Linked DNA regions of Callithrix jacchus. The protein of the gene in region 1 interacts with the protein of each later gene in a pairwise test. Links are inferred from orthologs where the notes say so. Each region holds a gene or a part of one and is shown in the gene's direction. Other genes may lie near its edges.

Evidence for each region.
Region 2: the proteins of ATXN1 (region 1) and RBPMS interact in binary tests that used the Homo sapiens proteins (3 or more experiments, as listed by UniProt). The link is inferred for Callithrix jacchus from reciprocal best matches to the Homo sapiens genes ATXN1 and RBPMS.
Region 3: the proteins of ATXN1 (region 1) and TRIM32 interact in binary tests that used the Homo sapiens proteins (3 or more experiments, as listed by UniProt). The link is inferred for Callithrix jacchus from reciprocal best matches to the Homo sapiens genes ATXN1 and TRIM32.
Region 4: the proteins of ATXN1 (region 1) and PRRC2B interact in binary tests that used the Homo sapiens proteins (3 or more experiments, as listed by UniProt). The link is inferred for Callithrix jacchus from reciprocal best matches to the Homo sapiens genes ATXN1 and PRRC2B.
Region 5: the proteins of ATXN1 (region 1) and LRSAM1 interact in binary tests that used the Homo sapiens proteins (3 or more experiments, as listed by UniProt). The link is inferred for Callithrix jacchus from reciprocal best matches to the Homo sapiens genes ATXN1 and LRSAM1.
Region 6: the proteins of ATXN1 (region 1) and NUDT21 interact in binary tests that used the Homo sapiens proteins (3 or more experiments, as listed by UniProt). The link is inferred for Callithrix jacchus from reciprocal best matches to the Homo sapiens genes ATXN1 and NUDT21.
Region 7: the proteins of ATXN1 (region 1) and TENT5A interact in binary tests that used the Homo sapiens proteins (3 or more experiments, as listed by UniProt). The link is inferred for Callithrix jacchus from reciprocal best matches to the Homo sapiens genes ATXN1 and TENT5A.

What each region holds. Positions count from the first base shown.
Region 1 is NC_133505.1:13,913,871-13,917,837, forward strand, and holds the start of ATXN1 (ataxin-1), read left to right. Parts: upstream 1-1,167; 5' UTR 1,168-1,348; intron 1,349-1,776; coding exon of another isoform or gene 1,777-2,590; intron 2,591-3,967. Other genes in the region: uncharacterized protein LOC128931873, read left to right, coding at 1,777-2,590. UniProt on the Homo sapiens protein: Chromatin-binding factor that repress Notch signaling in the absence of Notch intracellular domain by acting as a CBF1 corepressor. Binds to the HEY promoter and might assist, along with NCOR2, RBPJ-mediated repression. Binds RNA in vitro.
Region 2 is NC_133514.1:31,699,394-31,702,047, forward strand, and holds the end of RBPMS (RNA-binding protein with multiple splicing), read left to right. Parts: intron 1-1,926; coding exon 1,927-2,058; 3' UTR 2,059-2,154; downstream 2,155-2,654.
Region 3 is NC_133502.1:165,023,450-165,027,478, forward strand, and holds the start of TRIM32 (E3 ubiquitin-protein ligase TRIM32), read left to right. Parts: upstream 1-1,229; 5' UTR 1,230-1,581; intron 1,582-4,029. UniProt on the Homo sapiens protein: E3 ubiquitin ligase that plays a role in various biological processes including neural stem cell differentiation, innate immunity, inflammatory resonse and autophagy.
Region 4 is NC_133502.1:180,091,545-180,095,044, forward strand, and holds part of PRRC2B (protein PRRC2B), read left to right. Parts: intron 1-152; coding exon 153-235; intron 236-807; coding exon 808-999; intron 1,000-1,144; coding exon 1,145-1,342; intron 1,343-2,106; coding exon 2,107-2,193; intron 2,194-3,429; coding exon 3,430-3,500.
Region 5 is NC_133502.1:176,115,759-176,119,258, forward strand, and holds part of LRSAM1 (E3 ubiquitin-protein ligase LRSAM1), read left to right. Parts: intron 1-1,682; coding exon 1,683-1,781; intron 1,782-2,318; coding exon 2,319-2,450; intron 2,451-3,500.
Region 6 is NC_133521.1:14,315,321-14,319,349, reverse strand, and holds the start of NUDT21 (cleavage and polyadenylation specificity factor subunit 5), read left to right. Parts: upstream 1-1,229; 5' UTR 1,230-1,361; coding exon 1,362-1,477; exon of another isoform or gene 1,478-1,511; intron 1,512-3,355; coding exon 3,356-3,424; intron 3,425-4,029. Other genes in the region: prolyl 3-hydroxylase OGFOD1, read right to left, coding at 803-956. UniProt on the Homo sapiens protein: Component of the cleavage factor Im (CFIm) complex that functions as an activator of the pre-mRNA 3'-end cleavage and polyadenylation processing required for the maturation of pre-mRNA into functional mRNAs.
Region 7 is NC_133505.1:87,246,672-87,250,774, reverse strand, and holds the start of TENT5A (terminal nucleotidyltransferase 5A), read left to right. Parts: upstream 1-1,303; 5' UTR 1,304-1,591; coding exon 1,592-1,611; intron 1,612-1,787; coding exon 1,788-2,376; intron 2,377-3,490; coding exon 3,491-4,103.

The sequences.
Region 1 (3,967 bases):
CTGTTGGCAATGTTAGCCCAGCCGACGAAGATTCCTTCGCGTGGAGGTCACACCTGGCGGCGGGACAGGCGGAGGGGCGGGCGGGGTGGTGGGAGTCGCGGACCGCACTAAAACACAGAGTCCAGACTCAAGTTCTTCATCGATTCCCGAGAGCTGCCATTTGATGCTCCGGTGGCTTTCTCTGTCTCTTACACTGGTTACCTCATTTCCGATTAAATTAATGATCCCAAATTAGCTGCGAGAGGAGTGCGCGGGTCTCCTTTCCAGGCTAGAGCGGAGTAAGTAGCTCCAGATCGAAGCCGATTTCCGGACCTGCGGAGAGAGCGAGGGCACGGCCGGGCGTTCTCAGGCAGCGAAGGTGAGGGCGCCTGTGCAGTCGGGGGGCCCGGGAAACTTTGCGGAGTTGCACGCAGAGGCAATCCCCGAGGCCCCCGGGCCTGGGTTCCCGAACGCCGCAGCGACGCCGGTTTGCGGGTTAAATAACGTGCAGCTGATGATCGGAGGGAGCCCTTTTAGACGCGGCTCGGGGCGCCGGGGACCCAGGGCACGTTGGGATTAGAACCCGCCGACCTCCCCTCCCCCCTGGGGTGTTTCATTGGCTGCCAGCTGAAGCCTGACACCCCTTGGGGGAGTCCCCCAGGTTGCCTGAGCAGCGCCCCGCGGTCGCTCGGTCCCCTCCAACTAGGTGCAGGGACCCAGGGAGGCGCTCGAGGACCGACCGGTCACCGCTCCAATTACCTCATCGCGCAGCTCCCCGCCCCCTTCCCAAACCTGGAAGGAACCTTGCCCTCCACCCCGCTCCTCCCCTCCCCCGCGGCCCGTCCCGAGCCACTCTTGGGGAAAGGTGCCCGCCTCCCCGGGCCGCGCGCCGCGAAGGGTTAAGGGCGCGGGCCAGCCGCCGCGCGGTGCGCTCAGGGCTCGGTGCTGCTCGCCGGGCCGCCCGCCAGAGGGTGCCCCCCACCCCCATGAAGTCGGATCCTTGAGCTGCGGCGGCGGCAGCCAACTGCTCCATATTTGGCTTCTATTACACATTTACATACTGGAGCGAGCGAGCGAGCGAGCGAGCGCGAGAGAGCGCGAGGGAGGGAGGGCGGAGGGAGGAGGGAGGGGAGGGAAGCGGGAGGAGGGGGAGGAGGAGGAGGAGGAGGAGGAGGAGGAGGAGAGAGCAGAGTATACCGCAGACATCATTTCTACTACAGTGGCGGAGCCGTACAGGACCTGTTTCACTGCAGGGGGATCCAAAACAAGCCCCGGGGAGCAGCAGCCAGAGCAAGAGCAGCCGCCAGACATTGTTTCTCTCCCTCTGCCCCCCTTCCCCACGCAACCCCAGATCCATTTACACTTTACAGTAAGTGGCTATTTTTTTTCCTCCTCTGATTCTTTTCCCCCCTCCCCCATCCCCTTCTCCCCTTATTTAGATTAAAATCCCTCCTCTCCCTATCTCCCGAGAGGGGCAAAAGCAACAACCAGCAAACAAACCCTAAAACCCCAATCGGCTGCACGGAAAACAGCTGGAAGAGGAGCGAAGGGAATCGACGCGTCGTGTTGTGTGTGTGTGTGCGTGCGTGTGTGTGTACATACAACCGTCCCCGGTTCCAGGCTCCCAGGCCGACACCCCCACTCTGGGCGCAGGGGCGGCCGTTCGGGGGGGCTGTCAGGGGCCGGGTGGGCGCCCGCCGGGCTAGGGGGCGCGCCCGGGCGGGGGGCGCGGGCAGGGAGAGCGGCGGCGGCGCCCCGCTCTGGAGACTGCTGGTCCGGTCGCGAGTGCCGAGAGCCATGTCCTCCTCCCTCCGGGTGGCGCAGGGGGAGGCGGCGGCGGCCGGGGTGGGGGGCTGGTCCCTTTCCCGGCCGCCCTCTTCCCATTCCTCCTCTCCGGAGAGGGCGGTGAGAGAGGGGGGGTCTCGGGGAGGGCTGCACTTCCCCGCGGGTGGACGCCCGGCCTCGGCGCCCCTGGGCGAGGGTCTTCCCTCCGTGGCCGGCCTCGCCGGCTGTACGGCTGTGGGCTGGGAAGGGACTGCTCCAGCCAAGGGGCCGGGACTTTGCGCTCGGCCGGGTGCCAGGCGGGGGGCGCGGAGGGGTGGCCTCGGGGACCCCGCGGGGGTAGCGGGTGTGCGGGTGCCTGGAGCGCGGCTGGAGTGGCGGTGGCGGCCCTGGCTGCCGCCGCCACCGCCGCCCTGTTGGTGCGGCCGCTTCCTGATCCTGTGCAGCGGCCGCCGCCGCCCGGAGCCGCGAGCCCGCGAGCGCCCCAGTCCGGGCCGGCGCCCCTGCCAGCGCCCGCGGCAGGAACCGAGGAGCCGCGGCAGGCGCTGCCCGGAGCCGGGAGTGAACGGCTGCGCGGCTGCTGGGAGGGTGAATGAAGCCAGGAGGAGGGGAAGGAGGAGGAGGCGGCGGCGGAGGAGGAGGAGGAGGCGCTGCGGGGATTGGGATGCGCCCTGGAGCCCCGCTGCTCGTTCACTCTGGGCCGGGCCGAAGACTCTGCCACTCCCGGGGCCGGGGCCGCCGCCGCCGCCGCCTCCTACGTGGTTCCAGCGCTGCGCTCAGGCCGGTCCCGCAGGGGGCAGGGAAGGGGGCCGGACGGGCGGAGCGAGAGGTGAGGCGGTGTCGGAGCGCGGCGTGTGAGTGAGTGTGTGAGTGAGTGTGAATGTGTATATGTGTGTGTGCGTGCGCGCCGGGCGGGGGGCGAGGGCTGTCGTGATGCGGAGGGGGCCCCTCCTCGGCCACTTGGCTGACTCTGCATCGCCCGACCCCTTCTCAGCCCCCCGCCTTCAGGCTGCCTTCTTGAACTCCGAGGCTGTGCTTTCATTTTATTTCAAACCACGTAGGGGGCTGACTGGAAGCGGTGAAACAATTCAGGTTTTCTAGGGAGATTGAGCAAGAACCTTAGCGGGGGGTGGAAGTAGGGTGGTGATCCAGACTCTGCCAGAAAACAAAACAAAACAAAAAGATCAGTTTCTAAGGACGGCAGGGGTTCGGTTCGAGCCGGTGGCTGGTCTGTTTTGTTTTGCTTTCTTGGTATTATCCTACAGATAAAAAGGTAATGTAAATACTTGAGAAGATTGGGAAATTGCTGAAGAGTAGTAAGGGCAAAAAAAAAAAAAAAAAAAAAAAAAAAAAAAAGCCAGTCGGAAGAAGCTGGTTATATAATGCGCGATGTGGCTAACAAGAAAGGCAAGCTATTTTTATTTTGTTTACCGTATGCTGTGCAGTAGGGACTCCTCCAAACTGGTTCTGTCCCCGAAGAGATTCTGAGCTTCCCTGTGAGATCCACAGGATACAATTAGCAAAATTAGAAGACCCTATTACACCCACAGAATAAAAACTGGTGCCTTACAGTGGCTTTCTGCCTGCACATTCGTGCATGCACAGGAATGTGTGTATGCAAATAAGTTCTCCTTTGGCAATCTAGTAGTGCACATCTCAATGACATTTGCGTTTTATAATGCAGGCTGTTTTTAATATTTAAACATTGTCGTTATATATTGCACACAGCAGTGGGTAGTTACTTGGTGGTTATTTTTAGGCATAGCTACTTTTTCAACAGTGTTAGCTAAGACATTTCCGTTTGGGTTTTTTAGGAGGCTGCAGTTCCTAGAAGCCCCCGTTAAGCCCACCCTTCGGTTTATTTGGTGGGTAAAGGTAGTTTGATACTTAGGCTTTTTTTTTTTTTTTGGAATGAAGCTTATGCCTGAGGAAACCACCAGAGAGAAGAGAAAATCCTGCACAGGAACTCTTGGAAAGGGATTGCACCATAACGGCTAATGCTGTGGCACTTAATCTCCTCTGATTGCCCTCTCGCTGTGCATGCATCAGTCAATATTTTAGCAGCTCTGCAAATAAATGGACTTGAATGCCATCTTCTACATAAAGCAGAGGTTGAAGGGCTCCCTTGAACCTCCTGGCTGGCTGTCAGTGGTGTAGGTTTTCAGTGCACTTACTCCAGCCCTGATCACTCATGTAATTAGATCAG
Region 2 (2,654 bases), on another chromosome or scaffold:
TGAGTGCAGGTAGTAGTAACGAGCGTAAAGATTCACCGTTGGAGATAACCACTCGTTCTTTGGTCTGCAAAGATTGATGACCAGTAACAAATAAATAGAAAGTACGTATGTAGGTTTCATTTGTTTTTCTGCATGTGTAATTCGGCCCTTAAATTTTAAATTTTTAAAAATGACTAGGCTGGACAGGTGGATTTTTTGTTTGTTTTGCTCAGTGTTTGTTTACAAGGCTGGATGAAATAAACAGCTTCCCAGAAAACTTCCTTCTGACTTAAAACTCTTTTATGTTGTACAGAACTCACTGTCTTGATAAAGACCACCTAGAAGCAGCCCCCAGCAAGGGTTCTTGAAAGCCGTGGGGTCAAGATTGTTGTTGGCTGAACATCTTTTGATTGTTTTCGCTGAGTTACCAACGTGTTGGGTGTGCATTGATGACCCGGCTTCCTGGGGCTGCCCTTGGCGCCTGGGCCCCAGTAATGATTGCCCTTTGTGTCGGGAGAAGGGAGAAAGTACAAGTAGTGAAGAAAAAAGTGTAGGTGGTGGTGGTAAGAGTACATGGTACCAAAAATAAAGGAGCAGGATTACCTGTGCCTTTGGCCTCTCCTTCCCCTGCTGCTTTTTCTTCCTTTTTCCGTGTCAGTGCTTGGGAACCCTTATAACTAGCAGGTGATAGGGAGAGGGGATAACTTGTATACCTGTAGGGGTCTTCTGCTGAGTCATTGGGATCTTTGTTAGCGGGCTGTGGATAAATACATGGATGACATGGGGCAACGAGAGCCCCTTTTGCTTGCCACCTCCCACCCCTGCCCTGGACGGTGTCTCTCCTCTTGCTAGACTGCTAGGTACAGATCATGTGGCAATCAATGCAACTGTTAATAAATATCATGAAACAATACATGTTTGCATAGTCTTCTGAATAGCCATGGCTTTGGTTGGTACCAACAAAGCCTTTCACCATTACCCTGGATAATCAGGAGTTGACAACAGCCAGAAAGTACTGGGAATGGTGGCTTTTGGCCATGACATCTACCCATTCTTCATTCATGTAATGGGTAAAATCAGAAGTAATTCTGGAGATAAGATATGCTAAGAGAAGGGCCTAAAGAATCTCAAGAGATTAGAAAGCATATGCAATTGTGAGGAAGGATGGGGAGAGACAGTGCCGAGATTAGATGGACTCAGTCATTTGACTTAATGGGATGCCTTGCCCATGGTGGCACCCTCCCCTGGGACTTCTTCCTTGGTCTTGAGATTTTTCCAAACTGGAATCCACTTAGCTCTGCCACACTGGTCCCAGATTTGTTGGGACTCTCATCTGATACCAGTGTTCAACGCCACTTCTTGTTTGGAGTCATTCCCAGGGCAGTCATGGACTCTATGAACAAATATGGTCATTTAAATTTATTTGTCCAATATGAGAATCAGAATGAACTAGTAGAGGCTTTATAGATCAGCTGGTCTGACCCATTCTGCAGATGAGGAATCAGGCCTAAGAAGATGGAGGGAGTTACCCACAATCTGAAGTGGCTCTACCATGACTAGACCCAGGTCACCCGACTCCCAGGCCTGGCTCTTTCCACTCCGAGGTGCTGGCTCACCACAGACTTATTCTTTAATGGAATTTTGGGAAGGCTTCACTCCAGTGACTCCTTGGATCTTTCTTCTCTAAGTAGATGCGAAGCCTGTAAGAAGAGACTTGGAGGCAAAGACAAGGGAATCAGCACTTAACCTTCACCCAAAGGGCCCAAGAGAATCTTTATTAACTGGAGGTAGAGCAGACTGGAGCTTTTACAGGGCATCTCCCCATATTGGATAATTCAGTTTTTGTTTTGGAAATCTTATAATGTCTTTGGAGAGTCTTTAAATAATTTTGTTTTTCTTAGCAATGTTATGCTCTATTTTGAGACATGGATTTTTTTTTTCTTCTAGTGTTTCTCTCCTGAGGGAAAGCCCAACACACCTGTCTTTTGTCCACTTCTCCAGCAAATTAGATTTGTCTCTGGCAATGTGTTTGTAACATACCAACCTACTGCAGACCAGCAGAGGGAGCTCCCATGTTGAATTTGTTTGTTAGCTATTTTTCCCCCCTTTTGCAAAAACTATTTCTTGACGACCTTTGAGAGATTTCAATAAAAATTTTAATCAGAGCAAAAATGATCTCAAGTAGACTGCAGCGTTTTGTTTTCATGATGATGCAATTTTGGAGCAAAGGTGTTACTCTTTGACTGAGGTTGTGGGAGAATTGGGCCTGTGACACCAAGTCTATTTTACGTGGAAGGACTCAGAACGAGCTTCCTTGGGAGACCAGATCCTGGAGTTGAGGCCATACCGCTGCTGCTTTTCTCTGCCTGGGCTGCTGGAAGAGCCACCAAGAGCTGCATGTTGGAAGCATCTCATCCACCAGGAGACCTCACTTCAGCAGAGATGGCGGGTCTAGCTAGGGGACCCTATGTGAAATGAGTGGATGTGTTGCCCAGTCTGCCCACTGTGATCCACAGGAAGGAAGACCAGGAGACAAAGTGTCATTGAAAGAAGTTGAGTCACTTTTCTAGCCCTGCCCCAGCTTCAGTTGTGGTCTGGTACCCCTTCAGATTTCCCAGCTATAAAGTAAAGATACTTATTTGCCATCAGATCCCATTTTTTAGAAATTATTGTAT
Region 3 (4,029 bases), on another chromosome or scaffold:
TTACAATTTTTCAAATACAGTTACCAACTGCAAACTACCATAATCTTGGTTTATCTTCATAGCAAACTTCATTTAGAAATTTAGAAAATGGGGAGAGAGAGTAAACAAGGTTAAGAGAGTGGGTTCCCAGATAGAATCGGGTACAAATCAGGGCTCCAACAGGCACAGGTTTGCTGTGTAACCGCCTAGGTTACACAACAGGTGTAGGTTAACCACCAGCTGCCTTATCTTATGAAGTCCTTAGGAGGATTTAGTGAGCCACGCACCTGAAGTCCTTAGCTATAGCCAGACAGCAAGTATCCAAAGGTGTTAGTTATTGTTTTTGTTCATGGTTTTATCATTGTGCAAGGGTCGCATAGCTAAGTGGAATTTCAAATCCAAGGCCATCCTACTTCAAACTCCTTTGTGCTCCTAAGCTATGCAGTATAGTCACCTTGGAGAGCATGCGATTGTCCCCAAACTACCTCAGGGACTGCAGGTTATGGCCAGCCAGTCCTCTATCAGACCTCGTCCTTGCCAGATGCCTAGTGCCCCAGATTCCCTCAAATCTCAGGCCAGACAACTTCCCACCCGGTAAGACTCCCCCACCTTCACCCCTGACTCTCCAAAACTAGACTTGGTGTGGGTTCCCGGGAAGCTCTGTCTGCAGGGACAGTATTCCCCACGTCTGCGTCTGCTGTCGACTTCCCAGCTGAGTAGGCAAAACATTCATTCCTTTACAGAGCAATGTGTTCATGGATAAACTTGTCTCTAGCGCAGCTCTGTGTCAGAGCACAGAACATGGAGCCCAAGCACTGCCCTTCCCAGGGAGTCCCGGTTCTCGACTTCCCCAGGATGGAAGTTTGATTCTACCGTTGGCCCATTTCTTTGATAGAAAAACTGAGACTCAGCGAGGTGCCAAGGCTTTGATTAGGACTACCCTGGAAGCCACGGCTTTGTAAGGGGTAGACATTGGGACTGGAGTCAGAAACGCGTTCTGGCTTATCTCCTGACTTACTGAATGAACTTGAGCAGGTCCCTTTCGCCCGTGGGCCTCGGTTTCTTCATCTGCACAACGAGACGGAAAACTGGATTACGTGTAGCTAAGGCCCCCGGGTTCTCAGAGGAATGCTCACCCCTGCAGGGCCGACCGGCCCCGCGGCACTACAAGACCCAGCTTGCCTCGGGGGGCGGGGCTCAATGACTGACAGGGAGCTCTGCGAGTTGCCGCCCGGCAAGGGGCGCTCAGCGGCGCGTGCGCAGAAGGCGGCAGGCGGGTGGGCTGGCGGCGGTGGACTCGTTGGAGCCGCGGGCGGTCAGGTAGGGGGCGGGAAGGAGGGTTGGGGACCAGGGACCGCGGCCGGAGTCGTGGGCGGTGGCACAGTAGCGGGGCGGAGGGCCGTGCCGGCGAGCAGCGGCCGCGCCCGAATGGCAGAGTCTGTGGACCGGATCTGAGGGGCAGGACTGGGGTGGGGGTGGGGCTGCTAGGGGCAGGCTCGGGAGAGATTCATGGGGCTGAGGAGATCCGAGGAGATGCAGCTGGGGGAGGGGAGCGAGGTGCTCTGAAGAGATTTGCGTTTGAAGCATTTCGGGAGGTATGAGGTAATGTGGGGGCCGAGAGGAGAAATGGGGTGCAGCATGTGGGAGATGGGAGGGAATCAGGGCCCTGGAGGGACCTGGGTGCAGAATTTCAGAAATATGAAGGAACTGGGGACCCCCGATGAGATTTAAGGGAATCTGGGGGCGCTAGGCATCTGGCAAGGACAGGGTCTGAGATGATAGGAGCAAGGTCTAGGTCGATCCTCAGTGCTAGTGAGAGAGGGTTTTCGGAGTGGGATGAGCGTGAGATTGAGGGGATGGGGATGAGTTCTTGAGGGACTCTGTCTTGTTAGCAGAAAGAAGGGACCTGGCTGAACTGTGAAGCCAGCATGTGACATTCAGTGCGTAAGAGGAAGGAACAGGGTTTGAGAGCGGCACAGTGCCTGATGGAATGCAGGAGATGGGGGGCTCAGAATGAGGGAGAGCAGAAATCAAGTGTGGAATTGGGCCGTTGAACTGAGGTGCAGGGCTGAGTGCAGCAGAGATTTGGAAACAGGGATTAAAGGATCTATGTCCGAGGGATTTGGGGCATAGGAGTGAGGAATTGATGAGGGTTGCAGTATACAGCGCCAGAGATTGGAATTTGGTATTGTAAGAGGGTTGGGGACAGGGTTTGGAGAGGATTGAATCATAGGGTAGAGATGTCCTAACTGGGCTATAGAATCAAAAAACCCTGAGTCGGTTTGTGGACTGGTGTCTTGGACTGCTGAAGAGATTTTCCTTAAATCGCTGCATGGGAGACAGATGGAGTTCAGGGGACCCAAGGACCTAAAAGTAATGTATGATATAGATGAGTATATGAAGATGAGCAGAGTTCAGGTGTTGAGGAACGAAGTGATACATCTTCAGTTCAGAGATCCTGAAGGAGTGTGGTGATCCTTGTGAAGGGCAGAATCTTCTTCATTTATTAAACAAATATCCATTATCATGAGGCAGGTATGGTATTGCCACTAACTCCCCTCTGACACCCCCAGGCCACTGAAAATGGTGGGCTTTGGGGAAGAAGAAATGGAACTATTCAAGGTCATCTACCTAAGCCCCTTTTCCTTGTACCCACAAGCTGCGATAGCAGATAGAATGTGAGACCTCCAGGGGAATAAGTGGAATAATTAATCCTATCTAAGATCCATTACAGCTTGAAGGGGCGGTGCCTCTGTGAATGAGGTGTTTGGGCTCTGAGAGAGACAAAAATAAAAGGGAACCCTTATGTATTGAGCATTTAGTCCTGTGCCAGACTATAAAGAAGTGGTTCTTAACCAGGGGTGGTTTTGTCACCTTGGAGACATTAGGCAATGTCTGGAGATGTTTTTTGGTTGTCACAGTTAGGGTGGGGAATACTACTGGCTTCAAGTGGGTAGATGAAACATGTTAATGTTTTATGTTAATGTTAAACATTTGATAATGCATGGGATAAGCCCCTGCTCCCCAGTAAGGAATTATCCTGCCTAAAATGTCAGTACTGCCAAAGTTGAGGCACTCTGCCCTAGAGTCAGATATCCTGGGTTCAAGCCCTAGCTCTGTCTCTTCCTGACTTTGTGGCCTTGAATGAGTTACTTAACCACCCAGTGCCTTGACTCTTCACCTGTAAAATGGGGTTATGATAACGACCTATGTCACAGAATTGTGAGGATTTAGTGAAATAAATTAGCATGCCTAGGATCTGGCACATAGTATGTTCTCAAAATCTAGTAACTTTTAGTCTTATATCTACTTCTTTATTCAGTTTTCGTATCTTTCTAAGTAGGCTCTGCTGTTTTCAGTTTTACACGAGGGAACTAAGGCTTAGGAAGTGACTTGCCTAAGTTTCCATAGCTAGGAATGACACATAAGCTCATACCCAAATCTCTGTAGCTCTGTATATTCCCTTTTTCCTTGCTACTTCCTTTCTAAGGCCTGCTTAGTCTTATTTTCTCAGCCCATTCCCCTCTAATGAAAAAGAGGATTGCCCAGTGACTATCAAAGACGGGGTGGCGGGGTGGGGGGGTGGGGGGGCGGAGAAGGTAAATCTCTCTGATTAGGTAGGGAGGAGCCCTGGACTTTGTTCTTGGTTTGCTCTTAGACCAAGACCAGGGGCTAGATAAGGAGACGAGTTTGAGGTTACCAGGCAGAATGAGGTGCAACAGACTATGGGGTGAGGTATGGAGGCCGTTGGCTTGAGAAAACACCTCATAGCAGGGACTGAGGCTTAAGGCATTCATATTCTGAAGGAGAGTAATCACTGTTCTGTGTGATCTCTTTTGGGCTGCTTTTCCCTGGAACAAAATAATAGCATTGGCTCTATCATCTCCAGGACTAGCTACAGCGTTGCTGAAGCCAGTTCAGAAACAAAGCTAGACTGCATCTGACTGCTAAGGTTTAGCTGGAACATCCGCGCACATCCCTAAAAGAAAATATGTCATGGGAATTCAGTCAGCCCTGTCTAAACTCCTTACTCTGTTGCTAATTTCTTAT
Region 4 (3,500 bases), on another chromosome or scaffold:
GCTGCGGGTGGGGACGGGGGGCGTGTAGGGGAGGCAGGGGAGTTGGATTTCTGCAGGCTGTGCCTGTGCTTGTTCTTTAAGAGCTCATAAACTCGTGTTTTTCTAGACAGGCTTCTGTTTCATGCCCTGACTCTGTCTCCCTCCCCTGGCAGCTCTCCCCATGCAGGCCCCAGCCAGTGACTCCTGGAGGAAAGCTGTCACTGCCTTCAGCAGCACTGAGCCTGGCTCTGCAGAGGTGAGTGTGGCCACTGCCCACATGTTGCTCCTGGGATGAGTATGTGCTCACCATCCACACGGCCAACTTGCTGTGGATCCCTGCATCCCAGCCCATCCAAGCCCCTGCCACAGCAGCCAAGCTGGGAATTTGATTGTTTTCATGAGCCCAAGCTCATCAGTGGTTTTCCCTCTTGACTCCTGCTGGGAGTCTGGCCTGTGCGTGGGGCCTGCATGAGTAGGAGAAAGAGAAAAGGGGTAACAAGGAAGGACCCAATGCTGGGTGGGAGGAGGGATTGAGGGCTTTCCCTGAAGTGGTGTCAGCAGTTACGTAGTCTGGTTTGGGTCATGAGTGAGATGGGTTTGGCAGCCTCTGTCTGGGGCCTGCGGAAGATCCTGTGGTCGTGCGGAAGATCCTGTGGGGTTGGTGTATTTGGCCGCATGTAAATTGTGAGGCATCCTCGGCATAGCAGGACCACACTTGGCAAGGGGCAGGCAGCTGGGGTAGATGAGTCTCAGTGCCACATTGTAGTTTTACTGTCTGGAAAATCAAGTTGGAGTTTGAGGCTCTAACCCATTTTGTGCTCTGCACAGCAGGGTTTTAAGAGCAGCCAGGGAGATAGTGGCGTTGACTTGAGCGCGGAGTCTCGGGAGTCGTCCGCGACCTCCTCGCAGCGCAGCTCCCCCTATGGGACTCTGAAGCCAGAGGAGATGAGCGGGCCTGGCCTGGCAGAACCCAAGGCTGACAGCCACAAGGAGCAGGCTCCAAAGCCATCTGAGCAGAAGGTAACCTGGGTGTTCAAGCCACAGTGGCCAGGGCCTGGGTAGAAGGGGCCACTGTCTTGTTGTCTTCCCCAGTTCTTGGGACAGTCGAAGCTGGAGAGTGTGGTCATTCCAGTCTATATTTCCACCTCTCTGCTTTTTTATCAAGGATTCAGAACAAGGCTCTGGACAGAGCAAGGAGCACAGACCAGGACCCATCGGCAACGAGCGTTCTCTGAAAAACAGAAAGGGCTCGGAGGGAGCCGAACGGCTGCAAGGGGCTGTTGTTCCGCCTGTGAATGGGGTAGAGATTCACGTGGACTCTGTGCTGCCTGTGCCACCCATAGAATTTGGAGTCAATCCAAAAGTGAGGGTTTGATTTGTTTTCTTGCTTGCTTTTTTTTACTTTTTATTTTTAGTACTTGGAGAAGTTGGGGTCTCAGACAGGATTGTCTCCTAGAAAGAATAGAAGGATGGGAGCCAAGCACTATGCAGTGACTAGGGTGTTGGCTTGGAGTCCTGCACGTGGCTGGTGCTCTGTTGAGTTGCTTTAAAGATTGCCTCACTGGGCCGGGCACAGCGGCTCACACCTGTAATCCTAGCATTTTGAGTGGGCAAGGTGGGCAGATCACCTGGTCAGGACTTTGAGACCAGCCTGACCAACATGGTAAAACTGTATCTCTACTAAAAATACAAAAATTAGCCGTGCTTGGTGGCATGCGCCTGTAATCCCAGCTACTTGGGAGGCTGAGGCAGGAGAATCGCTTGAACCTCCTACCTCAGGAGGTGGAGGTTGCAGTGAGCCTACACCATGCCACTGCACTCCAGCCTGGGCGACAGAGTGAAACTCCACCTCAAAAAAGATCGCCTCACTGACAGTGGCCAGGCTCTTGGGACAGACAGGCCAGTGATCTTCCCTGTCTCCATCAGACCACCTAAGGGACTGGGAGAGAGTGAGGCTGGCGTCCTGTCTCCTGTGCTGTGGGGAAACATCTGGCCATCTTGCTCATACGTGGCTCCAGTGAATGCTGCTCAGGGGAGGTTTTGAGTCGCAGCAACTGCATCACTTTAACATGCGGCTCTGGGGAATGTAGATTCCCACCTCAGTGGGCTATGTGGCCTTTTTTTCAGGACTCTGATTTCAGCTTGGCACCTGGTTCTGCCTCTGGTCCTGCCGGGAGTCCAGTTGTCAAACTTCAGGATGCCTTGGCCAGTAATGTAAGTTCACACTTTTACCTCTGGCTCTGCTTACCGCCTGGGGTTGGCAGGTCCTGGGTGAAGGAGACAGCGTATGTATTGGAGTCAGGCTGACCTGGGCTGGCATGTGACTCAGTCGCTAGCAGCTCCATGTCCTTAAAAGGTGCTTAAATGTTCCTGCCCGGGTTTTGCGACCTTCCAGTGGGGATTGTACAGTTCCTAAGGTCTGCTTTATTTGGCTCTCTTTGGTTCCATGTCTCCTCTGTGCCAGGTTCAAGCCCAGACTCAAGTTGCCTTTTCAGTGGCCAGGGGTAAGGGGCACAGATTGAGTAGGAGAAGCCTCCTTGGGAGGCCCCATCTCACCATCCAAGGGTCTTGGCCGCCTGTGATCTAACTGCTATAATCCAGAAAATCTCGTGGTGCCCCACCATGGGCCCAGGAACTGGCAGTGGCATCTTATCATGGCCACTGGGAGCTGCGGCATCTAGTTCACTGCTCTGTACTCACCACCTGCTGGGGTGGGTGCTAGTGCATGTGCTGAATGAATGAGTATCATTTGGGCAGCATTTCCCAGAGGATTCCAAGGAATGTGAGTGCTATACAATATTCATAGGTGTCAAATGAAAAAAAATGTCCTGGAAGTGCTAGGCTCTGCAAGGTTCTTTACTCTGAGAGTCTGCAGTCTCTGATGTGCAGATGGATGCCGGGGATCTGCAGGAGATGGTGGGGCGCTGTTGCATGTCCAGCCACTGTTACTAGGGCCCTCTTTTTCACAGTTTGCTGAGGGGCACAGCCTTCCCTGTGTGGCCCAAGACATCTCCAGGCCAGGTGGCAGGTGTCTTCTGAACCAGGTGCTTGCGTGCTAGCAGCCAGTTCGTGTCTATACTGCTGGGACATGGCTCTGCCTGTCTGAAGGGCACCATGGAGTGTGATATATGGGGGTGGCTCTCTGCAGACTTGTGTTGAGGAAACAGATGAAGGCAACCATCTCAAGATCAATCATGGTCTTGGCTGCCATCAGTTTCATTACTTAGTGGTCTTGGGTATACATGGCCAAAACTGAAGAATGCACATGGACAAATCATAGATGCTATTGGGGACTGTAGGTGGTTTTGGGCAAAGCCATGGATGCATTTGGACAAGTCATAGATGCATTTGGATGAGCCTTGGATGTGCTCAGGCTAGCCGTGGATGGGTTTGGGCAGAGCTGTCTCTGCTTCTGTTTGCGTTCCATGGTTTTCTTATCCTTCTCTCCAGGCAGGGTTAACACAGAGTATCCCTATCCTGCGGCGGGATCATCACATCCAGAGGGCCATCGGTCTCTCCCC
Region 5 (3,500 bases), on another chromosome or scaffold:
TTTGTTGTCCAGCCTGGAGTGCAATGGCGTGATCTTGGCTCACTGCAACCTCCGCCCCCTGGGTTCAGGCAATTCTCCTCCCTCAGCCTCCCGAGTAGACAGGATCACAGGCATGCAATACCATGCCCAGCTAATTTTTGCATTTTTTTTAGTAGAGACAGGATTTCACCATGTTGGTCAGGCTGGTCTTGAACTCCTGACCTCAGGTGATTCACCCACCCTGGCCTCCCAAAGTACTGGGATTATAGGCTTGAGCCACCGCACCTGGCCCCTGTATAGGTTTAGAAGAGAAAGACCAGCTTCTTCTGGAGTCCTGAACAAGCCAAGTGGTGCCTGTGCCCATCAGAGAAAGCTGTCTATTCCTCACAGTGCCCTGCTGCCATCTCCTATGCATCAGGTTACTGGGCAGATGGTGCCCTGGTGCTGTGCTGTGGCAACCAGGTGCTGTGGCTGGTGCTCCTGCCCTCGTAGGCCTTGGGGGTCACCACCAAGGGAGGAAGCACCACCCCAGCAAGACACAGCCAGTCCGCTCCTGGGTGCCAGAAGAGAGGGCCTGCAGCCCGGGAGGGCCAGCGATAGAACTGAGCAGTGGGTGTGGCCAAGGCCACAGCGGGGAGCCCCCAAAGGGCAGTCAGGCCCAGCAGGGATGGGGAAACGCCTCCCCATGTCATGCCAGCCCTCACTGCTGTTCTAAGCAACTTTGTTCTAAGCAAGACAAGCCTGGGGCCTGATTCCTGGCCCCACCCTAGGCAGGGTACTCATTACCCCGAATCTCAGTTCCCTCACCTGGGAGGTGGAATCAACTTCACGGAGTTGTGAGAATGAATGAGTGGCATCTGTAGGTGCACAGCGTGGCCTGGTGCTGTGAGCAGGTCAGCTGTGCCTGTTGTCACCATGGTCGTTATCAGCATCATTTGCTCACTGCTTTATTCCCAGCACCTAGAACAATACTCAATGAAGAGTTACTGATTGGTAGAATAAGAGAATCATGTTCAGTAGCACACTGACCATTCTTCAGCTCTGTCAGACAGTGAAGCCCAGTCTAGAAGCGAAGGACACCGTCAGCTTCTAGACTGGGCTTCACTGTCTGACAGTGCCCCCTGCCTGGTACCCAGGAGGCAACCTGGGCTGCATAATGCTTGCTGTCCCACAAGCAGACAGAGGGTGTCCCTCCCAGAGAGTGGTGGAGTATGGTGCCAGGTGGCAGAAGCTTAGGTTCAGGTGCTCCTCCTGACCAGGTGTACAGCGTCGAGCCGGTCAGAGAGTGATGCTTCCTGCCTTTCTCATTTCTATAGTTTAAACGGTGGGACAGTAAGTGGGTGGGAAAGTTCTCTGTAAAATACTAAGTGCCAGCTGGTCACAGTAGCTCATGCCTATAATCCCAGCACTTCGCGAGGCTGAGGTGTGTGGATCACTTGAGGTCAGGAGTTTGAGACCAGCCTGGTCAACATAGTGAAACCCTGTCTCTACTAAAAATACAAAAATGAGCTGGGCGCGGTGGCAGGCACTTGTAATCCCAGCTACTTGGGCACTCCAGCCTGGGCGACAGAGCAAGACTGCATATCAAAAATAAAATGCCAAGTGCATCCACCTGCTCAGAGGAGCATAGTTCATAACCATCATTGTTAGCACAGGTTTTATTACCATTTTGTAACTAACATTGCCTGCTTCATTCCTGGCAGACGGAGTTAGAAGCCAAAAGTGAAACCAGGCAGGAAAATTACTGGCTGATTCAGTACCAACGGCTTTTGAACCAGAAGCCCTTGTCCTTGAAGCTGCAAGTAAGGACTGCTGCTGCCTGCCCTGGCCAGGGAGCCCGGGGTCTCCTCCCAGAGCACCTCTGGCTTCCACTATGCTCTGCCTCTTGTTACCTTTCTGGTGACTCTGGCATGCCAGATCCTGTGCCAAGCACAGGTGGCAACAGAAGTGAGAACGAGGGAGTATTCATTCTGGCGAGGGGGACAACAAGGCGCTGGTCACTGCTGTGTGGGGCAGAGACCACTGAGCCCACAGTAGAGTGAAGCCTGTGCCCGGGGGCCACTGTCTGCCCAGCACGTGCAGGGACAGGGTGGTGAATGAAACAGCCTTCTCTTAGTGGATGTTCAAGTCGCTTACTATTTCGGGGTTTGCAGACAGAGTGGCGGTGAACCCCGGGCCCGTCTATCTCTGTGCCTGCACTTGTGTTTTTGTAGGACTAATCCTGAGTATGTTCTAGGTATTGTGTTGTGTATATTCAAACCCTTCATTTCCTGTTGTAAGCAATGGGTTCTTTTCTTCCTTCCCACTCATGGTACACTTTTCCCTGGTCTGTCTTGCAGGAAGAGGGCATGGAGAGCCAGCTGGTGGCCCTCCTGGAGGAGCTGTCGGCTGAGCACTACCTGCCCATCTTTGCCCACCACCGCCTCTCGCTGGCCCTGCTGAGCCAGATGAACCCCGGGGACCTGGCCAAGGTGGGCAGCAGCTGTCCATGCAGAGGGTGGGGAGGCTGGGGAGGTGTGCGCAAGGCCACTGGCCTGACCAGTGGGGGTTGACCTGCTCCCCGTGGAATTCTCAGTGAGGTCTGTCCTTACCTAATGGCCTAGGCCCACCTTGTTTCCAGATGGTCAGAATGCCTGCCCATCTGCCCCAGCCGCCTGTGTCTGCCCTGGACACCATCTCACTGGGAAATCCTGGGGAGGTGGGTCCTGCCGAGCTGCTCAGACTGGATCCACAAGACAGGCCCCTGGGGATTGTCCGATCCAGCCTCCGCCCTGTCCCTTGGTGTGACAGACTGTTGTGACCGCAGCACTGCCTGAGCCCATATTCTGGGCACAAGCTGGGCTCTCTACAGCACATGAATCCACTTACTCTCCAAAACGGAATAATCATTGCTGTGCCAGCTAATACCTTCTTACCACCTGCACGTGCTGGGCACCATTTTAAGCACTTTTCGTATTTGAACTCACTGAATCCTCTCGATGGCCCAGGGAGGTACAGAGACTTATGATCTATCGTTCAGATGAGACCCAGTAAGGCAATAACTTGGCCTAAGGTCACGAAGCAGAGTGAGGCCTCTACCCCTAGCAGTCCAGCCCCAGAGTTCCTGTTCTTTGCCATGAGACTGTCCTGCCCCTCCCTGGACAGATGCAGACACTGAGGTCCAAAAGGACTGGATAGCACTGAGGGTCACAGGCCATGCTGCTTAAGCTCTGAAGGCTGAGGGGCTGTGGGCTCAGGTGCTGCTGCTTAGCGGCTTGGCCTCAAAGGCTTCTCTCTTGCTCCACCTGGTGGGGAGGTGGCGTGAGATGTGCAGGTGAAACCCGGTACTGGGAAGCAGTCGCTAAACCATGGCCGTTGCTAGTGCTGGCTTCCCTCTGGGCCTCGGTTTTCTTCCCACCCCCACCACACTGATTGTGGGGCTGAGGCCTGAGGAGGTTGCCCCCACAGTGATGGTGCCGCACTGCCCCATCCTGACCCTGGGCCCCGCCAGGCCCTGGACGGCTCCCACATTTCCAGCGAAG
Region 6 (4,029 bases), on another chromosome or scaffold:
GGCATCCAGACCACCCTGGACCCTCCTCTTCAAAGCACTTGACAACAGAAAGAAAAATCACAGGGAACTCTAGAAGGGGATGCCTGGCACACAAAGCAGAGCTCCTATCACATAAGGTGATGTTTGAAGCTGAGGCTGGAATCGTTCAACGCAGCCTCCTTTCCTTAGTCAACACGTGTTTACTTTCATACATCATACAGTCAAACTATAGGCGCGAAAAGACGAGAAAACTCGGGAGCCGAGCTGGCAGCTCATGGCAAATGGTCTGGCAGACTCTCCTGGGACAGCCGAGCAATGCTCTTGCACGACAAACGACATCAACCACTCCCGTATTTGTCCAGACGTGTATTGGGCCTTACTCAGGGAAACATTTACTGAAGCCTGCAAGCATTAGCTTATTACTTCCATTCACCGTCTTTCTGAGGTACAGACTATTAACTATCCCATTTTACTTAGGAAGCAGCTGAAGTTTAATAAAGTTAACTCCATTGCCCGGCGACGCCCAATCAGGGGAGAGGATTCTAGCTCGGTAATCTGAGAATCCAGAATGCAACTATCACTTGCATACCCTCTGCTTCCCGAAACTCTCCGGCCTCCATTTCTCCCTCTTCTCAGGTTTCTAAATTCAAACCGAATTTGGACTGAAAGAGAGCAGCAGCCGAGGCAGGAGGGTCGGAGGTGGCCAAAAGTCCTCCAAGAGCCTCTTCCCTTGCTGCCCCACTGCCAGGGTTCGAGTTCCAGGGCTTTTTCAGAGATCCCCAGACCCCTGAGTGGCGGCCCCTCCCTGAGAGCACCCGGTTACCGTGACTGAAAGGCGTCCTGTGGCTCCAGGCCTCAGCCACCTGCTTTTTCAAGGTTTCCTCCGTGACAGCGTCCGAAAACTCCGCCATCACCTCCTTCTTTCCCTTTTTTCCCACCCGGGCTGGGCCGGGCTCCGCTGGCCGCTTCCCATTCATCTCCTCCCAAGGTACAGAGCCAAGCCTGTACAAGACGCTACTTTCCTAAAGGGACTACAATTCCCGGCATGCCCCAATTACCGGGTTCCCCTGCGCTATCCAATTGGAAGCACCAAAGTAAGAGAAGGCGGAACCTATACCGGTTTGCCAATGGGAGCTCCAGCTATTGCAGCCATCCCACTAGCGATTGGCCCAATGGCGCTCTGTCTGGCAGGCCATCACCTTTCTACTTCCTGCCGCCAGAGGCTCCGGGTTCACTTCCGGCGTGCCTACACCTCCCATTGCGCGCTCCTGTTAATGGCGGGCGGTGGCCTCTGAGGGGATCGGAGATAACCGCTTTGCGCTCGGGGAAACTCTTCCCTGCCTCCCACTTTCTGCTCGCCGTTAGCGCCGGAACTCTCCAGCATGTCTGTGGTACCACCTAATCGTTCGCAGACCGGCTGGCCCCGGGGGGTCACTCAGTTCGGCAACAAGTACATCCAGCAGACCAAGCCCCTCACCCTGGAGCGCACCATCAACCTGTAAGTGCGGCGCGGCCTTGGCGGGCATTCCTCTCCTGAGCGCTCCCAGAGACTCTTCGGCGCGCTTCACGCCTCCGCATCTCCCGCCTCCAACTCCCGCTGGCGGATGTGCGGCATCCTCGTTCCCTCAGGCCCCTTTCTCATCCTCCACCCTGAGTCCTTTTCTGAAAGGAAGGCTTGTTCCCATCCTCTGTATTCAGTCATAATGGGGAAGAACGGAGTTTGCTTTGAACTCATCCTTTCCCCACCTCTCCTGAGGTAACCAATTTCAAAATGTTTGCGTTTTTTTAATCCTTCCAGTGAAAGGTTTATGCCCTCGCATCACGTATATGCTGTTGCTTTGTGAGCGTCGATGTGATACGAGTGGTATAACTAAGTATCGTTTTTGCAGTTTTCACTCCGACACTAAGCTTTGAGATCCAGCTGGAATGCCTAAGTCTAGTGTTTTTCCTTTCAAGCGCTACCCAATATTTCAGTTTATGAATACACCACATTTTTTTCATGTGCCCGGGGCTCCCTGCCCTGCCCTTACGCCTTCCTGTCTCAGCGCCGATTTCCCAGGCACCCCAGCAGGCTCCACTTTGGGAGTAAGGCTTTCAGACCGGGGGGAACCAGAATATTTGTACCAGAAAATCCCATTGTGGGCTGCATTTTATTTTCAATACCTTTGTGTTTCAACACTTCAAACCGTTGCATTTCAAGGTCACCCTCAGAAGCAGCCTCGTTGTAGCAGGTAATCGGCGTTTGGGGTAGGTCTTAATCAAGAAATTGTCAGTAATGGTTTTTTTTGTTTTTTTGAGATGGAGTTTCGCTCTTGTTACCCAGGCCGGAGTGCAATGGCGCGATCTCGGCTCACCGCAACCTCCGCCTCCTGGGTTCAGGCAATTCTCCTGCCTCAGCCTCCCGAGTAGCTGGGATTACAGGCACGCGGCACCATGCCCAGCTAATTTTTTGTATTTTTAGTACAGACGGGGTTTCACCGTGTTGACCAGGATGGTCTCGATCTCTTGACCTCGTGATCCACCTGCCTCGGCCTCCCAAAGTGCTGGGATGACAGGCGTGAGCCACCGCGCCCGGCCAGTAATGCTTTTTTAAAATCGTTTCTGAAGATTTGTGCCTCCATTTTCCTGATGGAGGAAAGTGGCCAGTTTATGCTAGTAAGGGTACTAGTGCAAGGATTTGCTGGTATTGAGGTTTTCGTAAGACACTTTAGGTGTTTTTCTGCTTTACGTTAAAATCAGTGGACGTTCTTTCCCCACCCGCCAACCAAAAGTGATTTGAAGTTGGAAAGATGGTTAACATGGTTTTATTTTGCAAAACGTGCTGGTTTGGAAATTTAAATAATAGAAATGCTGAGTTTATAAAAACTGTACTTAGTTGATAGTTGTGCGTTTAAAAGTCCTCGGCCGTAGTGGCGGCTCACGACTCTAATCCCAGCACCTTGGGAGGCTGAGGTGGGAGGATCACTTGAGTCCAGGAGTTGTAGACCATTCTGGGCAACATAGGCCATGTCTACAAAAAAAATTTTTTTTAATTAAAAAAATCAAACGGTAAGGGCAAATATTATCCTTCTTAGTGTGAAAGCACAGCTTCTGGGTTACTTTTAGTGGTGATTAGCACTAAAACCCACAGTCTTTTTTTTATCTTTTTAAGTTTTATCTTTTTAATTAATTTGCATCAAACCATTTTGGAGAATTAACTTGGCAAAATAGCTTTCAGGAAGATATTTTAATCTTTGCTCTATTAAAATTATGAGTTGATTTATAGTACATTTCCTCTCCTAAATACAAAATAATCATTGTGTTGTGAACTTCAGTTCACCTGAGTTAACATTAAGTTGAAAACAAACGCCCTCTCTCCCATTATATTTTCCTTTAGGAAATATTGCATGAATGTCTTCTTTGTACCAGGCACTGTGCACAATATTGGATGTACAGCGGTGAGGAAGTAAGGTGGTAGCCCCTGCTTTATGAAGCTTACAGTATGATGAGAACAGTATGTTTGTCTGGGGTGGCACTCTGATTTCACAGATGAAGATTCTGACATTTCATTTTGACATCTCCTTGCTGATATAGTGGAACTGGCTCTTGCAACAGAGATGTGTAATGGCTATTCTTATTCTTTCTAACTCAGGTTGTGAGAATTAAATGTTAATATATGTAAGGCGTTTTTAAACAAATGCCTGGCACATCGTGTTGTGTAGCATATCTGCTGCTGCTACGGTTGATGGTGTTAGATTTAGCATTGGGTCTACTGGGGACGTTCTTTAAATCTTTAAAGCATCCTGGAAATGGTATTTTTAAATTATTTTAGAGCTTTTTCATATGCCTAGAACTTGCCTTCTGGAATTAAAGTAATTTTTAAAGTTTTGGCAACCTTGATTTGTTCCCCTTTCAAGAATGGCTGAGTGGAGTAGATACATTAATGTTGACTATTCATGTCAAGGGCTTTCGGTAGAATAGGTAACCATGGACGAGCAAATGTGGCCTAAATTCTTACCTAAAGGCTTCTTGCTGTAAGGTTTTAATCAAGGGGTTACAACATATAAGTAG
Region 7 (4,103 bases), about 73 Mb from region 1:
CTCCCCCAGTTCGGAGGTGCGGGCTGTTTTTCTTCCCAGGCTGGGAGGGCAGGGCTGAGCAGGGTTTAGGGAGTATTCTGTGACCCTGGCATTTCCCCCCTTTGCCCTACTTTAACCCCCGGCAGCGTCTAGGCGCTGGGAAAGCTGCTCAGGGTTAGGTGACGGAGGCTGTGAGCGGCCAGAAGAGATGGCCACAGCTTTCTAGCAAAGACAGTGGTGGTGGCGCGAGTGAGCGTGGGGAGAACCCTTAACTCTGTCGAAGTAACTGAAGCTGTAGGGGAGAATTCGTTTTATTCCTGAAACTCCTTTTACCTCTCATGGGAAACCAAATAGTATTCCACGGACACAATGATGCACTTAAAACTGCCAAACCTTAGCGGGCCGCGAGGAAGACACTTCGCCGCTTCGGGTTTTCTAAAAAAGAACGCGCAGCAAAGCGCTCAACAGCAAGTAGCCCTTTCCCCCGACTCCGGGGCCCTGCGCACTCCCCGTGCGCGCTCTCGGCACCGCACTCGGCCCGCCCCGTCCTCTGCGATTGGCTGCTCTCCGCTCCGTGACGCCCCCCGGCCCCCGCCGCGCACCCGGTTCCTCGGGAGCCACTCCTGTGCAGGAGCCGCGCACGCCCGCGGCCTGGGGTGTCGCCCCCGCGCCTTCTCTTGCTAGCCAGGAGCTCCCTGGCGCGCCTGCCGAGGTTTCGAGAATCGAAATCCGGTTATCAACAAGCCCTTCCCACTCGCGCAGCCGTGACTGATTTGCGTGCACGAGTGGACTCAGGAGTCCACGCTTGGATCGAGTTTGTCAATGGAGTAAATGGTCTCAGCTAGAAATCGACATTTAAGAGAGTTCGTGAGGAACCTCCGTGAGAAACCTCCGAATCTCAGCCGTGAAGATATAATGACGGGCAGTATCCGCGAAAATTTTAGAAAGTTTCTGCAGTTGCAGAATTTTAGTCGTGATCTGGTTTTGATGACCAATTATGACTCCTGAGGCATTTAATGTGTTTCCTCATGGGAGAAAAGATATGTGGGAGGGGGCGTACTTAAATCAAATGTATGTATAAATACACGCATAGCTATAGGCGCACACACGTATACACATACAGCCCGGGGCCTCGCACTCTCTGGAGGTCGACCCGCAACCAGGCCGGCTGGGCAAGTCCGCTGCGCGCCTGGCGGGCGGGGAGGGCGGGGGGCAGGAGGCGGTGCCCTATGCAGATGAGGAGGGTGTGGCGAGCGTGCCGCTCCGGGGCCCCGGAAGCGCAGAAAAGCCCGGTATAAAAAAAGTACTGAAGACGTTTTCCCCCGCACAACTGCTAAAGCTCCAGAGACACAATCGTGTGCGGCAGCAAGAGCCGCCACCTTCGGGACCACAGCAGCTGGGGCGGCAGCGGCGCGGGAGGGGGCGCGGGGAGGGAGTGGTGAGCGCAGGCGGCAGGGGTCTGGGAAAGACTTAAGTCGCTAGTCGCTGCCGGAGCGCAATCGCAGCTCCTGGAATTGTTTCCGCCTCGCGGTTTCTCTCTTGCTCGCTGCGCTCCTAGAAGGGGCGGCCGCCTCCAGGTGACACAGACGGGACTCTCGCTTGTGCTTTCCAGATGCATCAGAGATACTTTTGGTGCGGGGCTGCTCTGCGGGGCGCGGGGCGCGGCTGGGGATTATAAAGGCCCGGGGAGGGAGAGTCTCCCAGGAGCCCCCGGGTCAGGGAGAGATCGGTGGAGGGGGCGCTCTTTTCCTGGCGGGCCGCTGCCCTCCGCCGCGGTGTCCTTACCGCTCCTTTCCCCTTCCTTTTAGGACTGACCAGGGCCAAGTGGCGCTCGGTGGGCACTACATGGCGGAGGGCGAAGGGTACTTTGCCATGGCCGAGGACGAGCTGGCCTGCGGCCCCTACATTCCCCTAGGCGGCGACTTCGGCGGCGGCGACTTCGGCAGCGCAGAATTCGGCGGTAGTGGCTTCGGCGGCGGCAGCAGCTTCGATGAGCACTGCTTGGACTATTGCGAAAGCCCCACGGCGCACTGCAACGTCCTGAACTGGGAGCAAGTGCAGCGGCTGGACGGCATCCTGAGCGAGACCATTCCGATCCACGGGCGCGGCAACTTCCCCACGCTCGAGCTGCAGCCGAGCCTGATTGTGAAGGTGGTGCGGCGGCGTCTGGCGGAGAAGCGCATCGGCGTCCGCGACGTGCGCCTCAACGGCTCGGCCGCCAGCCACGTCCTGCACCAGGACAGCGGCCTGGGCTACAAGGACCTGGACCTCATCTTCTGCGCAGACCTGCGCGGGGAAGGGGAGTTTCAGACTGTGAAGGACGTCGTGCTGGACTGCCTGTTGGACTTCTTACCCGAAGGGGTGAACAAAGAGAAGATCACACCACTCACGCTCAAGGTAAAAACTACCCGAGATGCACTTGGGTCCTGACCCGGCTGGACCGGGTGCGACGGGGAGCGGGCAGAGGGACATCGGTTAAATGCCATGAATCTGTGGCCATCACGGGTTTGGGCGCGCGTATTTCTTTGATTTTTTTTAAATGAGTAAACTTACGTGTGTGGACGGTGTTGAGTGTTTCAGTTTACTTGATGCTTCGGCGCTACAACTCTTCTCCAACGTCCTCCTCTGCCCTACCTTTCTTCCTTTTCCTTATGTTTTAACTCTTGACTTTCCCTGTTGGGGTCTTGTCCAGAGTAGATTTTGATACTCGGCAGAATGAAATGATGTAAATAATGTTTTGAGTTATGATCCAGTCCTTGGGAAAAGAGCAGCCTGAAGCAGAAGTGAGTCAATGAGTTTTTTTTATTGTACTGGAAAAGGTGAATAGATTTCATAGCAGTACTCAGCTGACTCTGTGTTAAAGGTCTATCTTGTGGTTCTCCGTGCTGGTTCATATGTTAAGGGTATAGTGGTAGCCCCTACCCACCCTCCACTTTAGTTCAAGACGGGTTTTATATGATAAGTCAAAATTGTTTGAGGAGGCAGGCTCCCAGAACGTCGTAATTTAGTTTATATTTGATTGTAACTGCAGAGTACCCCTGGAGGAGCACACAAGATACTGATAACATTGATTGCCGCGGGCGTAGAGGGATTGGGTGGCTTGGAACAAGGGTGAGAGGCTGACTAACCTACAGCTGAATGCCTTCCTGAGTTTTGAATGTTGTTTGGATACTGTGTGAATATTGTGCCTATTAGACCATTTTCAAAAAGTAACACTTAAAAGTCAGACATGACAACAGAACCTCTTACTACTGTGCTACGTCTGCCAAAAGCCTCAAACTATTACCTCTAGTGCCTTTCCCAGACAGTAAAACTACTCGTTAAAAGTATTTTTTTTTTTTCTATTTTCAGAAGATCGTTTACGCCTGTAGATAGTGTTTGGCTGAAACTTGACAAAACAAAAGGGAAAGAGCAAAATCATTCTCAGCTGTGAGGAGGATGGATTTATTTATTTATTAATTTATTATTGTTTTCTAGGTTTGCTCATTTTGTTTTATCTTTTAAATTGTAGGAAGCTTATGTGCAGAAAATGGTTAAAGTGTGCAATGACTCTGACCGATGGAGTCTTATATCCCTGTCAAACAACAGTGGCAAAAATGTGGAACTGAAATTTGTGGATTCCCTCCGGAGGCAGTTTGAATTCAGTGTAGATTCTTTTCAAATCAAATTAGACTCTCTTCTGCTCTTTTACGAATGTTCAGAGAACCCAATGACTGAGACATTTCACCCCACAATAATCGGGGAGAGCGTCTATGGAGATTTCCAGGAAGCCTTTGATCACCTTTGTAACAAGATCATTGCCACCAGGAACCCAGAGGAAATCCGAGGGGGAGGCCTGCTTAAGTACTGCAACCTCTTGGTGAGGGGCTTTAGGCCCGCCTCTGATGAGATCAAGACCCTTCAGAGGTATATGTGTTCCAGGTTTTTCATCGACTTCTCAGACATTGGAGAGCAGCAGAGAAAACTGGAGTCCTATTTGCAGAACCACTTTGTGGGACTGGAAGACCGCAAGTATGAGTATCTCATGACTCTTCATGGAGTGGTGAATGAGAGCACAGTGTGCCTGATGGGACATGAAAGAAGACAGACTTTAAATCTTATCACCATGCTGGCTATCCGGGTAT